Linked DNA regions of Oryzias latipes. The protein of the gene in region 3 interacts with the protein of the main gene of each other region in a pairwise test. Links are inferred from orthologs where the notes say so. Each region holds a gene or a part of one and is shown on either strand. Other genes may lie near its edges.

Evidence for each region.
Region 1: the proteins of khdrbs3 (region 3) and siah1 interact in a two-hybrid assay, tested with the Homo sapiens proteins (3 studies listed by BioGRID and IntAct). The link is inferred for Oryzias latipes from reciprocal best matches to the Homo sapiens genes KHDRBS3 and SIAH1.
Region 2: the proteins of khdrbs3 (region 3) and inpp5d interact in binary tests that used the Homo sapiens proteins (3 or more experiments, as listed by UniProt). The two-hybrid records come from large-scale screens. The link is inferred for Oryzias latipes from reciprocal best matches to the Homo sapiens genes KHDRBS3 and INPP5D.
Region 4: the proteins of khdrbs3 (region 3) and psmf1 interact in a two-hybrid assay, tested with the Homo sapiens proteins (2 studies listed by BioGRID and IntAct). The link is inferred for Oryzias latipes from reciprocal best matches to the Homo sapiens genes KHDRBS3 and PSMF1.

What each region holds. Positions count from the first base shown.
Region 1 is NC_019864.2:25,286,456-25,290,657, forward strand, and holds the start of siah1 (E3 ubiquitin-protein ligase SIAH1), read right to left. Parts: upstream 2,801-4,202; 5' UTR 1,878-2,800; coding exon 1,760-1,877; intron 251-1,759; coding exon 194-250; intron 1-193. UniProt on the Homo sapiens protein: E3 ubiquitin-protein ligase that mediates ubiquitination and subsequent proteasomal degradation of target proteins.
Region 2 is NC_019862.2:27,116,308-27,120,490, reverse strand, and holds the start of inpp5d (phosphatidylinositol 3,4,5-trisphosphate 5-phosphatase 1), read right to left. Parts: upstream 2,801-4,183; 5' UTR 2,628-2,800; coding exon 2,476-2,627; intron 2,039-2,475; coding exon 1,975-2,038; intron 55-1,974; coding exon 1-54. UniProt on the Homo sapiens protein: Phosphatidylinositol (PtdIns) phosphatase that specifically hydrolyzes the 5-phosphate of phosphatidylinositol-3,4,5-trisphosphate (PtdIns(3,4,5)P3) to produce PtdIns(3,4)P2, thereby negatively regulating the PI3K (phosphoinositide 3-kinase) pathways.
Region 3 is NC_019869.2:24,808,127-24,812,082, forward strand, and holds the start of khdrbs3 (KH domain-containing, RNA-binding, signal transduction-associated protein 3), read right to left. Parts: upstream 2,801-3,956; 5' UTR 2,596-2,800; coding exon 2,505-2,595; intron 1-2,504. UniProt on the Homo sapiens protein: RNA-binding protein that plays a role in the regulation of alternative splicing and influences mRNA splice site selection and exon inclusion. Binds preferentially to the 5'-[AU]UAAA-3' motif in vitro.
Region 4 is NC_019863.2:32,757,249-32,761,378, reverse strand, and holds the start of psmf1 (proteasome inhibitor PI31 subunit), read right to left. Parts: upstream 2,801-4,130; 5' UTR 2,696-2,800; coding exon 2,567-2,695; intron 2,051-2,566; coding exon 1,904-2,050; intron 787-1,903; coding exon 704-786; intron 537-703; coding exon 348-536; intron 15-347; coding exon 1-14. Other genes in the region: pigu (phosphatidylinositol glycan anchor biosynthesis class U protein), read left to right, coding at 3,568-3,697. UniProt on the Homo sapiens protein: Plays an important role in control of proteasome function. Inhibits the hydrolysis of protein and peptide substrates by the 20S proteasome. Also inhibits the activation of the proteasome by the proteasome regulatory proteins PA700 and PA28.

The DNA of each region.
Region 1 (4,202 bases), on a different chromosome or scaffold from region 3:
ACGGCGTGGGCCGGGCCCTGCAGCGGGACGGCTGATCAGCCCGACAGAAAGGTCTGAGCCCACACACACAAAACTACAGCAGACATGGGAAAACCAACAAAGCTGCCATCGATCCTGTAAATGTAAAGCAAATCCCCAACAGATCCACTCAGACACAGACAGACAGACAGATTGACAGACAAGACAGACTGACCTTCGTCCATAAGATTTCCAAATAAGGCTTCTGTCTGCTCCTGAAATGTTTGGACCTCTGAAAGAGAAAACAAAGGAAGTGCACATGAGAACCCGACAGGCTGGTTCTGAACGTTCTGCTTTGTTCTCCAGTCAGACACAGAAGTGGGCTCGGATTGTTGTGATGTTCCGGCAGACGTGAGGGCCGGATGGCGCCGAGGCGGTGTTTGATGGGCAGGACACAGAGCGTGCTCACTTTAGATTTCTGCTGTGTGGACGCTTTGCTGCAGAGCCACTCATTCATATTTCAGTAAGTCTGGTCCATTTCTGGACTAAAGGTTGACGAGTGAAACCCGTTTGTCTTCAGCTGAACAAAATCTACACAAAGCAAATTATTCCTGGACACGATTGCATCACATTTGATTTGAGGTTTCTGTTAAAACGACGTACAATGTCTCCTTCTGTGTGGAAACAGAACTCGCAAACACAGGAAGCTGCTTTTTGAAACTAAAAATTCATCTCCACATAAACCGTCTCGTCTACAAACATAGGCAGAAAACAGGGCTACGGTGTGGGAACAGGTAGACGGATAAGACCATCGATGGTTCGGGGCGTGAAGGTGAACACCAACGATGAAGGAAACCATAAACCATAAACATCTTCCTGTCTTTGTTCTGCCAATGGTTTGGTTGCAAACAGACCAAAAAGTCTGTTTCACCAACAGCTTCTGCCTCCATGAACCTCATGGAGGCTCAACAATCTTTAAACGCATCGCAAAAGAAAACCATTTCCCTTTTAGAAGCTGAAGAAATATAATCTAGAAATAGTTTCATTAATTAAGAGATTGGATATTTTTCTCAAAAGATTGGAAATTATTATTATTTTTAATTGATGTTATTTAAGAAACCAAGCAGAAACCTAAATACAATGTTGAGTAAATACAAATTGTACATTTTTTTGTATATATTGAATCCTTCAACTATGTGATGAATCTTTTGACAGAAAACAAGAACATCTTTTGTGCATCACAGAGCGAGAGGCGGAGCCTCAGAGATGGAGTCGTCCTACTTCCTGATTGGAAAAGAACTCAGGAAAATAACTAATATTTAATTTTAAAAGAAATGTTCTTTTGTGTCCCAAAATATATCATCATATACATGGATATATATATTTTTTACTATAAAAGGCTTAAGAAGAGCCTGGTATAGGCCCTTAAAGGACCAAAACATAAACACACAAAATGAATATTTAAAAAGCAAATTAGTTTTAATAAATGTTCAAAAGTGCTATTTGTGAAGAAAACATTCCCGTCGTTCCCTTTTCTCTTCTATGATAAGAAATTAAATATCCTGAATGACAAAACTAAACAGAGGAACATCAGGACAGGTGAAGGGGGATTCAACACAAACGTTAATCCACGTTAAAACAGTGCAACATAATGTACGCAGGGAAACGGTTAAAAGCATCTTCTGTGCTCGCCCACGTCACGCACAGCATCGGTGTGCCAACACGGCCCCCTGCACACAAAGTGCCAATTCAAGCCACCTTGGGCAGAAACATGGAGCTGGTGAGGATCGACGCGCTTCACCTTTAGTGTTGTGCACATTCCTGGTTGCTACGCATGAGAGCAGCCTGAACAGGGAGTTCCAGGGTGGAGCTTGTGGAGCTACACTTGTCTGCTTGGATTTCACTTGGACCACAGACATAGAGGTAAAGCATGTATGCAGCCCCTCTGTGCCACGCTGCTCAGGCCTTTTCCATGGAAACCACACACTGCTGCTGGAGCTCTACGCATTCCTCCAAATACTGGATCATATTTCCCCTCCTGCCACCCCCGCCCCCGCCCCCACCCCTCTCCCCTTGGAAAGTACAAGCTTCTGAGCGGCTGGAGTTCTGCAGCAGATCCAGAACGAGGGTTGTGTCCAAACAAACACCAGCAGATCCTTAACAGCGGGAAAACGTCAGAGTCCAGGGTGTTTGAGCGACTCCACTGCAGAAGCAACAGAAGGAGCCCGGACAGCAGCCAGGCAGGCTAAAGGGTTAATCAACTCGCCAGTCTGCACAGGAAACGGGAGGCAGTTTAGGAGAGTCATTAGAGCTTCACCAACACTGGGTAATTATCCAGTTTCTCCACTCAGGAACTATTTGACATTCCACGGGGCGGTTGGTTAGCAGGTATAGAAAGAGGAGTCAAAAAAAAGTGCAAGTTTGCAAAAGAAAAATCCTCAAAACAAGAGAGCCCCAGCTCAGAAACCTAACCTTGGCTCCCCGAGAGGAAATGAAAGAAGAAGAAAAAAATCCAGTGTGAAGTCTCCCCCTTCACTTTCTTCTCGGTTTGGATTTCAGTGATGTTCTTTGTCCTGGGGAGCGTGGTCGGTGTCAGCGCCACTGGCTGTGTTTGTCTGAAACACAGAGCTAAAGTCCGCATCCAGCGCGAGTCTTTATCTTTGTCTCTGCAGGCTCAGCCCTCACATGTCTCAGCTCAGCTCCAGCTGCATCTCCCTGCTGCTCCTGCAGCCTCGTGTCCTCTGAAAGCCTGCAGTTTGCCTTCTTTCTCCAGGCTGGACATTCTTCCTCCCTCTGCCCCCTCCCTCCGCCTCACTGTGGTTGTGCAAGTCTCAGATTTCAGCTGGTATAGCTGTAAGCTGCAGCACCAGCTGACCCCTCTGACTTCATACCTCCTTTCTCCTTTAGTGCAGCCCGTTTCTCCTCTGTCCACGTTTTAAATGTGAGCCAGAGAACACAGGGCTGCGTTCTCTGGCTCACATTTGCTCTTCAGCATAACTTACTTACACACTCTACAGCAGCGTCTCACCTTCTCAAAGTGCTCTTCCTGTTTTTGAGAAGCACTCTAGGTATGTGAAAAGCTCGCTCAGCGTTTACCGTTCGGAGCATCGATGCTGAAGATGCAGCACATCCCAGAGTCAACATCTGCTCACGAGAGGACAAAGAGGAGAAGCTTTTCTTTGTGCTTCATTTCCACATGGACCAAATCTGTGGAATTCCTTGCCCACCGTATGCTAAGCCGGAAGGATTTTTTCGCCCCCTCAGACTCAGTTATTTTCACAAATCTGATAAGAGATCAAACACGTCTGCAGCTGCATCAAAGACGGAGCGTGTCTGCTTTCAAAATCTCTGTCTGGATGTTCAGGCAGCAGTTTTTGGGAGGTCTGCAGTCAAACCTGCCAGTGGCTAGCAGACAGTGTTGTGAGAAAACAATTCTCCTGCTACATCTTAACATCTTGGCTTCAGTGCACATTAAAGTTTCCTTTATGCCAACGCAGAAACCCTGAATTCTGATTTTAAGTAATACTTTTAACAAGACTGCATTAGCTTAATCTAAAAAAGCTTTTTGAACGTGCCAACTCTTTTTACAAATTCAGCTCTTAAGCTAATATACAAAAAAAAAGAAGCACAAAAGGGACTAAATGTCATCGACACAGCAAGTTTTCATAAAGTTCCAGCAGGACCGGAGAACTCTGTAGAACATCAGCTGTTCCCTCGACCAGACCACTCATAGGAACAACCTGACTCCTTAGGTTGGGGGTCTCTTCTGGGCAAAGGGTCACTTGGTACCCAGACACAGAAAGAAAAAACAAATTTCCATTTTAGTCATTAGTGATTTTGAAAGCCATTTCATTTGGGAAAAACTACCAGATTCTCTCCGTGACACTTTATGCATGTAAAGTCGCTCGGTCACATGTCTTCCTACATGTGTGACCTTCCTAAAGAAGCCACTCAGGCGGTAAAACCAAAATAACCCCAAGATGACAAAAGAAACTCAAACCGAATTATTTGGACAATTTCTGCACAGTATAAGAATCAGAGAGATGACTTCAAAAATCAACAAGAAAGCTGCATTTAACAGATAATATCAGGAGTCTTAATTAAAATATGGATTTATTGGGACAGGTTGCTCTCACGCAGTGAGCCCTGTCTTATGTTACAAAGACACTGCTGATAAAATTGGACACAGCAGATTCCCGTTTATTATTATATTTAGAAAATATTTGTTATGGTGGTGGTCATAT
Region 2 (4,183 bases), on a different chromosome or scaffold from region 3:
GTCCACCAGGTCATTCAGCAAAGCAAAGAACCTAATAGGAACCCCATCTGATGCCTGCAAAAAAAGTAAATATATAATCTTTTTTTCCCCCATAGTTTTAGCCAGTAACCTTTAAAAAATATCAACATGTCTTACATTTTCATACAATTCTGAAGACTTGGGATATTATGCAGAAATGATGGAGGATATGTAACACATGTAGCCAAGACATTTGAATAAAAACAGTTAAAATAAATACATTTAAAAGGTCTCAAAGGTGCATTAAAACCCTGTTAATCTTTTATGAGAACCCCAACAACTGTCCCGAATGTGTCTCAATCCAGAAATCAAAATGGTATTGCACAACAAAACTCTCACCGTTAGTAAGCTCTTTTTAGAAGACAAGACCCAGTTACATTTTTCTAATAAGCCGCATTCAGGGTCAGACAAACGGCATATACCAATTTTGTTCCAAATACTTCAGCGTGTAAACATCTTATTTCCAGAAATACAACCATCCAAGTACTCATTGTATTTTCTGATGTTTTTATGACCAACCATATCGTCCAAATTGTTCTGGGAGATGTTTAAACAGTACAAATATTATGCAACATTGTTGTTAAAAACCACAATGGTTATAATTTTCCAGGCTGGGATGAAAAAGTTTCTTTTTTGACAGAGTGTTACTCGGAACAGCCTTGGACACAGATAAGCCAGAGTATCGCTGTCACTGCAAATCATGCAAACGCATCACAGTACCCTCAACTTTTTATTCAATGCAAGCAAAGGAATTGTGATAACAGTGACAAATTGCTCCAGTTGTTTGAGGTTTGAAGGCATTTCTCCTCTTCAACAACAGATCAAGGGGATTTAGATAAATACAAACAGAATGTCATTTCAGAATAGTCCAGTGTTTTTAGTTGGGACTTCTGGTCAATCACCTGTTGGAAGAACCACTAGCTAAAGCCAAGCCTTCAGGGATATTTGCCTCCAAGATGCCTTGATAGGCCTAAGATTTATTTTAAAAACTCTGGGACAGATGCACCAACACAGCCCAGACCATTACCAACCCTTCTCCATGTTTCACAATAGGGACAGTCTATTTTCTTATTCTGCTTTATTTTTGTTTGTAAATAAAATGTACTTCTCCATAAAGCTTCAGTTTAGTCTAATCTGTCTGAAGGTCGTTCTCTCTACAGCTCTACCAAACATGGCGTTGTAATTCTCAGTTTTGTTTTAAAATGTCAATCAAAGAAATTGACACCTTTGAGGTGCTTTTTATCTTTAAAGACACGTGTGGAGGAGCCCCCACTCTCTGCATATATGCTTCACACCCAAGGCCCTCCTCCTTTGAGGCAAATGTCCAACTCGAAGCTTTTTACAGCTAGTTTTCAAAGTCCTAGTTTTCAAAAAGATAGAATGCTCAATGACTTACAACATCTCCATTATAGGTTTCCAATGTAAAAACCAACACAATGGTAGCTTTAATTCAAAGCAGGAAAGCCATAGACAAGCCTAAAATAGGAAACTCACCCTCCTGTTGAACTGTTTTTTTTTTTTCATGTTTTACATCACACAAAGACGTGTCACAGATCTACTGTGAAAGAAAACCTAGCACTGCTCAGATGGCCAAAATCTGGTTCTTGTTTCAAAGAGCTGCTGTACTTTCCTTCATCCTAACCTTCATCTCCAACGTTGCACAAAGCTAACCTGATTTCAGTGTAAAACTCTGCTTTCTCTCAGGTTCAGGACTTCTTCTGTTCTGTCAAACAGGATCTACTGTCCATCTCACTTGAAATTCAGAAAGTGTAAACTTCCTTGATTGTTTAAAGGAACTCTTACCCTAACTACAGTATCACTCATTTAGACCTTACAAGAATAGAAAATGCTGTGTGCCAGCAGATGCTAGGAGAGACATATCACATAATCTGATACACCTAATCTAAGGTTTATCAAAGGGAAGAATCTGTCGCTTGTGTCAAAGCGTCCACCCACCTGAACAGAGAGCTTTTTGTCCTCGTTTGGAAGGATTCTGTATGTGTAAACACATGTCTGGAATCTGGTCAGGGGGAGAAGTGCAAATGTTTGTCATTGGTATATGACAAATGCAACATGAATTCAGTATAAGTGAAAAATGATCTCTGGGGCGTTTAAATTAAGGTCGGCCAAATAAACGCGCTAAGACAAAGTGTTGCAGAAGGCACAGGCTGGTGCTTCTTAAATATGGCACACAATGAAAAGTAAAAAGGGAACTAGTTTTGGATTGCAAAGTGTAAAAAATAGCCTAAGCATGGGATGTGAAACTGTGAAAGACATCAGAGGCCTTGTACTTTAAATCGTCTGAGTTAAATGCAGAAATACCTAAAAATTCTGCAAAAAATACACAAATTCTTTCCACAAAGGATAAACAGTTTAAGACACACTGTAAAACGTCACTGGTAAAGCACTTTTAACCAAACAGTATACATTCATGATGGTTAAATATTGATAACTTACAAAACACAGAGGGCATAAGCTCCCTGTACGGACTCGCTGTCCCGGATAAGGAAGCTCCCATCTCTTGCTGTATTGGAGAGAAGATTTTCGGCTTTGGATCGGGTTATATTGCCATGGTACCAAGGTTGATAACCTGGCATCTTGCTTGCCATCAAAGAGCTTGAGCTCCGGTGTTTTGCATCAGCTCTTTGAAAATAAAATAAAATAAAATAAACACTAGCTTTTCTCTCTGGCCATTTTATTCTTCTTCGATTTCTCTCATCTGATCCCCCTCTGCTTCGTCAAGCTGTAAGAGGAAGCTGCTGCGAGCTCTGCTCTGAACTTCCTCATTGGTCTGGTTGCAGAGAGGAGGGCAGTGGTGCCTTCAGTTTGTCTGTTGTATGACAGGTCCCCTGAGCTGTAAAATGCAAATGCAGGCCTTGGCATGCACTGGACCAGTCCTCCTTAAAATATTCTAATTATTAACCAACACACCCAACTCTGAAAATAATCAAACTAACTCTCTAAATCGCACTTAATGAAAAGGAGATGTCGTATGCAGAAACAGGAAGTAAAATAGGCTTTGAATTTGTAAGTTTTCACATTTTTAAGTTGATATTTGGCACTTATTAGTATGAAAATAAGGCACGTTAACCCAGAGGTCTGCATCTGTGTGCTTTCAATCATTTGAATTAGAAGGCTTTGCAAGTTCTCTAAAGCCTACGGGTTCAGGAAATAGGGTGGGTTGTCGTGTTCATGTGATGGACAGGAAGTTTTACAGAAGTAAGACAAAAAAAAAGTCTGCTCACAAACCACAGTGAAGGTCACATGACATGGAAACAGAATTACAGTTTCAAGTCACTGCACCTCCAGAGCTGCAGACGCCATTCTCTTCACATGGTTTTGTCACTTCTTTTTTGAGCAAAGCTGCCGTGAAAAATATTCAATTGATGTTTGTTCTCAGTGCAAAAAGGGAATTCTTTCATTGGGGGTTTTAATGGTAACACTCCAGTAGCAGCCAGTTTAAAAAAAGAAAACAAAATGAGTCAAAATCAAAGAGCATTACCTGTTTTACTCCAAAAAACTGACATCAAAACATTCACATTTTACAGATCTGAGTACTATTCTTGAGCAAAGCTTTGATGTGAAAACGGCATTGTTTTAAAGGAAAACAAAGCAACTAAAAAGTTTGATGCTGATAAATGTATTTACATGGTACATTTGTGAATGTAAAGGTTTTGCCTCTTTACGTTGTTTGCTTTTCTTTTGAGAGAACTTATTCCAGTTGTATAGTAATTATATAAATCACCCTCAGGAGTCCTTAGCCTTGTTTGGATCTTCAAATCATTGGTCACGCAGCAAAAATATTTAATAAAATTTTGGATTTCTTAGTTCATCAGAAGTCTCAAAACGTCCAAAATTCCAACTTGTGCAGTAAGAGTCCAGTTTATCCACAATTTCATTGAAACTTTCTTCTGGAAAAGGAGGAAACAAATAGCGGTAGTAGTAAGTTACCACCAAATTAACCATATTACACAGAAAATACACATATAAATGATAACGATTTTCCTGTGGTCCAAATGCTTCAGATGTATAGTCAGTTGATTGCAGAACCTGTAGAACATCCCAGGAGTTGAGGACATCAGAACCAGCCTACTGTGAATCTTTTTCATGGCACATTTGTAGCTTTTGGTCCTTCCACTGGAATCCTGCTGCACATACGTTAGAG
Region 3 (3,956 bases):
AACCAGCGGAGGAGGCAGTAAACCAGAGGAAGGCCTCTGATGGGATCAAACGTTGCCGTGACGACAGACAACCATCTGCGGTAAGGAAACCTTCAGCCGGCTGAAGCTCTGCCTATCTGTAACAGATGAGCTTCCGATGGAGACTTCACAGATGCGTCATCTGGATACGGAAGGACTTTCTGAAGCTCTGCTGATCTTTAAAGGCCGGGTTTGTCTCGGCTCGACCTCATTCGAGCGCCAAAGTCAACCGGATCTACTGGATAGAGGAGGACCGGTCAGAAAAAGGAGAAACGCCGTAAAAAAAATAAAAACATTTATGCTGATTTCTGTGAAGTAAAAACCTGCTGCTGGTCCCAAACTGGGATATTTCCATCTGCAGAAAAGCTTTTCTCCTTTTCTCTCCAAGTTTTCCACGTTGGATATTTGAAACGTTTCGGATGTTTTACAGACGAAGAGCGTCTTAGCAGATCGATAACAGTCGAAATTTGTTTCTAGATTTTAATTCTCATTTAGGAAGATTTGGATCCTTTGAAACGGTTTAGTCCCATTACAAAAACTTAATACTATTGAGGTATACTGCTTTTTTAAAACATTTGTATTACTTTTATTGATCATTTTTAAACGGATGTTGCATTTATTGACTTTTAGAAGTGTTTAGGATTCATGAATGTCCTTTTCTTTTATCTGCAGCTCTTTCTTAGAAAGGAAACGATGCATCTGCTGCTTCTTCAGGTTCATCCCAACAGAACTCCCAAAAGTAGCATTTAAGCCAAATGATCGGCCGCCCCGACCGCAGCCTCTTCCTCTCCCTGCAAAGCTTTTCCACCTAACGAGGACAATCCAGCCGGCGCGTCTGCTGTGCGCTGCATGCGCGAGCAGGCGCAGCTGCATGCGTGAGCAGGCGCTCCTGCATGCGTGAGCAGGCGCAGCTGCAGGCGCACCTGCATGCGTGAGCAGGCGCAGCTGCAGGGAGCTCTTTCACAGCGTTTTCCCAGTTCGCAGCCTGCAGGGCTTTCCTAACAAGCTTTCCTGGAGGTCCGGACAGGAGCGCGGCGCTGCAGCCGTGGCCCTTTGTGCAGGCGGAGGCCAATCTTGGCTTTTGAGGGGAGGGACGGTTCAGACCTCGGCAGACGTCTTCTGGTATCAGAGGTGGATCTAACTGAATACCAGAAGCACTTGCTGCTTCTCCACACCTCAAAGGTCTGCATCCACATCCCGCAGAGGAGCAGCGTCCAGGAGCTGTCACGCCGGTCGCTCCGGTTCTTCTCCGCGCTTCTCCTGCCAGCTGCACAATCTGCTCAAGAAGTCAACGCCGGCAAAAAGAAACATCATTAGGCAGCGCAGCGTTCCATCTGCCGCATACCAGACAGATAACAGGATTTACAGTTTGTGGTGTGCTGTTCACGCCAAACTTCACACAGCGTGGAATCTGATTACTCTCAAAACCTCACCCATGACTTCTGCCAACCTCTGAGCAAAGATCAGGAGGGAACAGGAGTCAAGGGAGGAGGAGGAGGAGAAGTTCTGCTCACTCTCCTCACGCCTGAATGACAGTCCAAAAAAATGACAAACGACAAAACAATCTCCAAAAGCAAAGCTGGTTTCTGTTTCCCAGCAGCACTCGCTTCTGTTCTTCGAGCTGCAGGATCACATGAAGCCCAGAAGCTCAGCTCAGCTGTGCCCCTGTCCTGAAACTTCACATCATCACACGGAAAAATAACCGCATTTCCACTCACAGAGCTGACAAATGTGTGCAGCCTTTTGAAACACGAGTCTGACACTTCTTTGGAGGACGGCGGGTTTTCCTGAACATGAACAAACTGTGGGAAACTTCCTGAAACGCATCCATGTTCATAAACAGAGCGATGGCTTATTCTATTGAAACGCCGCCGCTGGTGTGCATGTGGACGTAGTGCTGCTGAGCAGAGAAGCTCAGGAGTCGCACCTGCAGCTCAAAGGTCAGATGGAAACCAGAGACACTTCCAGGGGGAGCAGATGCATCTGTAACATTTCATTCCTCCTAGTAACTCTTGCTGCTGGGGGAAGAATCGGAAAGTGTGAGCAGATGTTCTGGTTCTGAGGGACGGTTTGATACCCAGTCAAACCCCCCAGTTTAACACCCAGAAGAGCCGAGCCGGAATGGAGCCAGACCGGCTGCATGTGAGGAGCATCGTGGCAGACACGCCTCCAGACTCTGGTGAGTTGGCTTTCCAGCCAAAAGCATCTGGACTGAGAACAGGAGCCCCCCCACCCTCCAGCAGCACAGAGGACCACGTCCACAGAGCAGCTTCCCCATCATCCCCCCTCAGGATCCACGCAGCCCTGTCACAGCACACTCCGGGCTCGCGCTCGTGCGTGGATCATCATGTCAGCCTCATCCACAGACTTTCGCCTCACGGCGGGCGGGTTTGACTAAACTTTAGAACATTCTGACTGAAGAGGAGCCTCCTTCATCGCGGGAGGCTGTGAGCTGTGAGGGGGGTCAGAGCGAAGCCCGGACTCACCTCGCTCCAGGAGCCGCAGACAGTGCTGGAAGGCCGGGTCCAGCGCCTCCTTCTCCGCCTGCAGCTCCGGTAGGATCTTGTCGGTCTCCATCTGCGCTCCTCCTCCTCTTCCTCCTCCTCCTCAGGTGTTCAAACAAAAGCTGAGAATGTGACGAACCCGCGAGCTCCGCTGTCTCCGCGCTCGCGCTACAAAAGCATCCCTCCGTCCTCGCGCGCACACAGAACGCGCGCTTAAAAGAGCGCGGCAGCTTTCATCCTGTCCGACTGCCGCCGCTCCGCCTCGCGCCGCATACAGACCCCCCCACGCCCCCCGCCCACCTGCGAGGAAGGAGGCAGGCGCGAGCGGCCATTGGTCCGCGGCGACATGTCGCTCGTGTAAGGGGCGGGGCTTCATCTTTCTGCAAAGAGACGTCTTAACAAAAAAGTCAATAAAAAAATGCTTTTATTTGATTAAAGTGTAAATAAATGATGAAACACGTCTTGGCCCCCCCCAAGGCTTACTCTGGGGGGCGTCTTATTCCAAAGGAATGTTGGTGAAGTGACTTTAATGAAACACAGAAAAAAGACAGAGTTTAGGAGGAGAACAAGACTTTCAGAGATGACACACACTAACGCACTTTGTAAACACGTTTTAAAAAATAGACTGTCCAATCATTTTAGCCAAGTTAAAGCATTAATTAAAAGAAAAAAACATGTTTGTATGAGAATAATATTAAAAATGTGTTTTTGTGATTTAGCTGCAAATATGAGTCACATTGAAAAACCAGAGAATGACTGTATTTTGTGGGAACAGACACCAGACTCAAGGATTTTTCCACAGTCACTCGTTTCAGTGAAGGCAGGAAAAATGGATTTATTGTCAGGCTTTAAAAAAACAATGACATTTGGAATGAAGAGCCTCTTATGAGCTGCTTTCTGTTTCCTTTAACACTTCTTGGTTTGGGAAACAAATTGAAAATCAGAAGCTAAATAAATTATTACTTTCTGGGCAAGACCAGAAACTTTCATTAAAGCAAAAGGAGGGAAAATGAGACAAAAACAAAGCTGATCAGAGCAGCATCTGTGCCGAACTGCATGATGAGGCAACAGTCTTCAAACTTAATAACATTTAGAAACCTGCAGGGCAACATTAGGTAATAATAGAGCTTAATATCATATCTAATGCAGTGCTTTAGTGGTGCAGATCAAATAAAGAGCAATATTACATTAAGATGGGAGACTGTCTTCCAGCAGACTGGCAGACTGCTGGACTGATTTAATCAGCTTCAGAGGTCGAGGGCCGCTCCACCCCTGCATCTCTTTTCCCGCTCTAAAGAGATCGTTCATCAGTTTCAACTCTGGTTTTCAGATAGAAATTGACTGATCCTAGCTGTTTTTACAGCAGGAGGAGTGCTCAGCGTCGTTTGTAATCCAACCCGTACGACCCCTTTCTGCAAAAGGGGGATTGATTGT
Region 4 (4,130 bases), on a different chromosome or scaffold from region 3:
CTGCAGGCTCACGCCTGAAAAACAAAGCGTTCATCAAATGATGAAGAATCACCTCACCTTCATCAGGAGCAGCACAGCATCCGTGATGACTGTTTCCTTCCTGACAGAATAAACCTTTCAAAATAAAAGCTCATCTTTAGATAGACTTGTTTCTGCTTTTATCCTTTAAAGTTCAGACGGATCTAACAACTCATTCAGTTCTGTGAGAAAATAACAGGAATTTATTCCTGATTTTTACTTTAACGTCATTTCTTTTAACTTTCAGAATATAGAAATATTCTAGAAAGAGAGAATAAAGACTTCTTTATCCCATCGCTGTGATCAAATCAATGCCAGAATTTCCCAACCATGGATGCTGCGTTCCCGGACCAGGACGTCTGCTGGGAATGCGTAGAGGGTCGTCCTCCTCTCTCCTCCTCCTTCCTCCTGCTTCGTCCTCATCCTCCCGCAAACTCCTCCTCCCTGCTTTCTTCTCCTGGGGGGGCAGCAGCTGAGCCCTCACCTTCTCTGACAAACCGTCTCCATTTATGAAAACCCTTCAGAATAAAAGCCTTCAGTCAATCATTTCATCCAGATTCAGGGTTGCTACCTCTGCACCCGCAGCTCTTATGGTCTGCCCTCCTCACCTGTGACTCTGTGACCCTGAGGGACTGAAAACAGGAAGAACTGCTGATTCCTGTGGGGGACGTTTTTTTACACCGACCTGTCAAACGTGTCCAGATGGTCGGCGTCCACGTGATCCTTCATGTTCACGGTCAGGTCGGTCACCTGCTGCGTGCTGCAGTTCTTCAGACACACAGAAAGCAGACGCCGTCACACCGCCGTTACCTTCAGCTGGAATCTGACGTCAGCATTTCTGAACGACGATTGTTCAGAGTTTCTGTGACGTTCGTGACGCGTGGACTCATGTTCAATACAACACGAGTCCACATGTCTGCAGGACGTGAACGGAACAGAAAAATAACATGCCACCATAATAAAGATTGAAGAAACAGACAGAGGGCTGTACCGACTCACTGCACAACTACACATAATATATTCACCAGGTTTCTGCTTCAGAAATATTTATTGTTTTCCTGTTTCTCTTTATTCTAGTATCTTCAGCCATGTTTTGCAGCTTATCTTCTACAGTTACTCATCTATTTCAACCATCCATCTATTCAAATGTTCGGCTCTTTCAGCTTTTTCCAGCTGTGACTTTTGGTCCTTCAAATCCTTGAACTTTTCCAGATATTCCAGGATTTCTGCCTCCATTTAAATAAATGGGGAATCCTTGGTGCAGAAGCTCGCTGGTTTGATACCCGGCTCTGGCATTTTTCACAAACATTTTTGTTATTGTGCTGTTTTCACTTTATTTATGGTCAACTTTGATCATTTCTTTATTTTTTGCCCGTTATTCCCCTTTAAGTTTCATTTTCATTCAGCAGTACAGCATTTAACCGGCATTTTCTTCTAGAAATGCAGCTCCTTCTAGTTTAAGTTTCTTTTTGAAGACCTTTTCAGAACTTCTGCTGGGAAATCAAAATAAAAGAAAACCATCAAAGTTCAAACCTAAAGCCATCTGATCTTCATTCAGAAAACCTTTGTTAAAATCTCTGACTGCTCTCTATTTTTTTAATTTGAAGCTATTCCACTAAATCTTCACCTTTCAACAGTTCTGAGATGATAAATAACGCCTTTGTGTGCTCCCTACATCATCAAAACACGTCTGATGTTCTAAAACGAGCCAAATGTTGCCATGAAACCTAAAAGCGGCCTCTGTGTTTTTAAATTTCAGATTTGTTTCTCTGTCGTCTCAGATGTGAGGTTCGCTGCAGACTTTTTGCATTTAATGCTTCGTTCTCCCTCATTCCAGCAGAGTGCCCACCCCCTCATGTCCTGAAGGACCCCCCCCCATGCCTACCATCAGGTTGAATATCACAGCAGAGTCCACGGGGACGGCTTTCAGCAGCATCTTTGCGTCCGCGCCTTCGTAGCGGAGACTGTACAGCTCCTTGTTGCTGCTCCAGTCTGCAGGCAGGAGCTCCGACTTCCGGTCACCGCTGCGGGGCTGGGGGGAGGGACGGGGGCGGGGGGGGGGGGTGAGACACCCTCTCTTTCAAACGCTTCTGTGCCCCCCCCCCCGCGCTAAAGATGACGTGACACTTTTTGCGGAAAGTCCATTTGTTTAGTATGAGACCAAATGGCGCGTGCCAACTGCACGAGACTAAAAATCGGACTAAAACATGACTCAATGCAGAACTTTAGGAGGTCAAAGGTCACCTAGATGGAGGAAGAAGAACCAACTCAGCGGAGGTTTCCTCTGAATCGCCTGCAGGACAGTTTCAGTTTCCATCCTGATCCTCCTGCTAATGTAGCAAAGCTAACATTTATTCCCACAGACTGAGAGTTTAAATCAAAACTGTAACTCAGAGGGACTTCAGAGGCTGTCAACAAACTACGATCTAAAAGTAAACAAACAGCATTAACTTGGTTCGTCTCGTATCTTAAATGTGTTTAAATAAAACCAGAATGTGTTGTTGGTTTGTCTCTTCTGGTTCTGCTTAAGTTAGCTAGTTCGACCCACCTCGTCTCCGGAACCGATGCACCGGTATCCTCCCTTGATCATTTCCCAGTGAACGAAACACACGAGGGCGTCCTGAGGACAAGTCAGGCTACCTGTGACGCAGGTGTACAACACCTCCAAGCCTGCCATGTTGTCTCACAAACCAACAGCACAGAACAAGAACAGAAAACAAAAATCGCAGAGTCGTCGCTTCCATAACAACCACAGCGACTTCCTGCAGGGATTTTCAAAGTAAAAGCACGTGGCTTTTAGAGGATTGCAGAAAACACATACGACACGCTAAAATAGTATTGTAGACGTGATACAGTCACAATTTAGTAATCAGATATTTTTAAAACGAACAACGATAATCTACTTCAACGTGACGCTAACACAGGCCCACAAAAGCGTTAATTTTATTTTATTTTTAAATACGCCCCCGGAAACAGTAAAATAGTTTATTCCAACTAGACGGCGAGTTGCAGTTTTGTTTTGATCCGTCACATAAATCTTTCGACTGAAAACACGCAAATGACAAAACATTCCGCATTCCGGGGTGATTAAAGAAAAACGCCTGTAATATGTGCTATATTATTGTTTAAAATTACAGCGTCTTTATGTATATTCAGCATATGCAAAATTAGAACTAACAACAAGATCATATGAAAACTCCTCTGTTGAGATTAAACTCCTTTTCAAGTTGTTTAAAATGTGTTTATTTACCTTTACACATAAAATTAAATACAATATTTGATTAAAACAAAATTCTAATCTTGATTTTAATTGCTTGAATTATGCGTTTTAAATAGTCTTTTTGTAAATATGTTCCTTTATTATTATTATTATTATTATTATTATTATTATTATTATTATTATTATTATTATTATTAAACTCGCTCCTTATCGCTGCTTGGACTGTAAATCTGTGGAGGTTGGAGGTAAATGTTTTCCTGACGAGACGGAATAAACTTGACTTCCCAGCATGCACCTCGAGCGCAGGGCGAGAGAGCTTCCTCGCGAAGATGGCGGCTCCCTTGACGCTCCTAATGATTGTCGCCGTGACGGTCCGTGCCGTTCTATTCCGGTCCAGTTTGGCGGAGCTGATTTCAGAGAGGGTGGAGGTGGTGTCACCGATTACTGCCTGGAAAAGAGGTGAGCGGGCCGCCGGCGGGGGTCCGGAGCGCACCGGTCACACACGCCTCGCACCCGCGCGCCTCCCCGCTGCGCCGGTAAACCGGTTCGGCGACAAAATCTGTCACAAAAGAAATCTGTAAATGTTTGGAGAATGGTCGACGAAGGTGAAACGGTGTCAGACTCGGACTCTGATCCGATTTTTGGTCCCCAAAAAAACCCCGAACTGAAGGAACTCATCTCTGATTATTATCATCGATTGTTACTCGTACAAGTAATCTATTACATTTGAATATGACACTGTCAGAGCTGTAACGCCTTCATTAACTGAAAGTGACTTCAGTCAAAGTAACGACAGGAGGTTCTGCAGAGGAGCTGTTGGGTTGTCCTGCAGGTTCTGATGGATGAAGAACATGTTTGGGTTCATCCATGTTCCTGATCATCTGATCTGTTG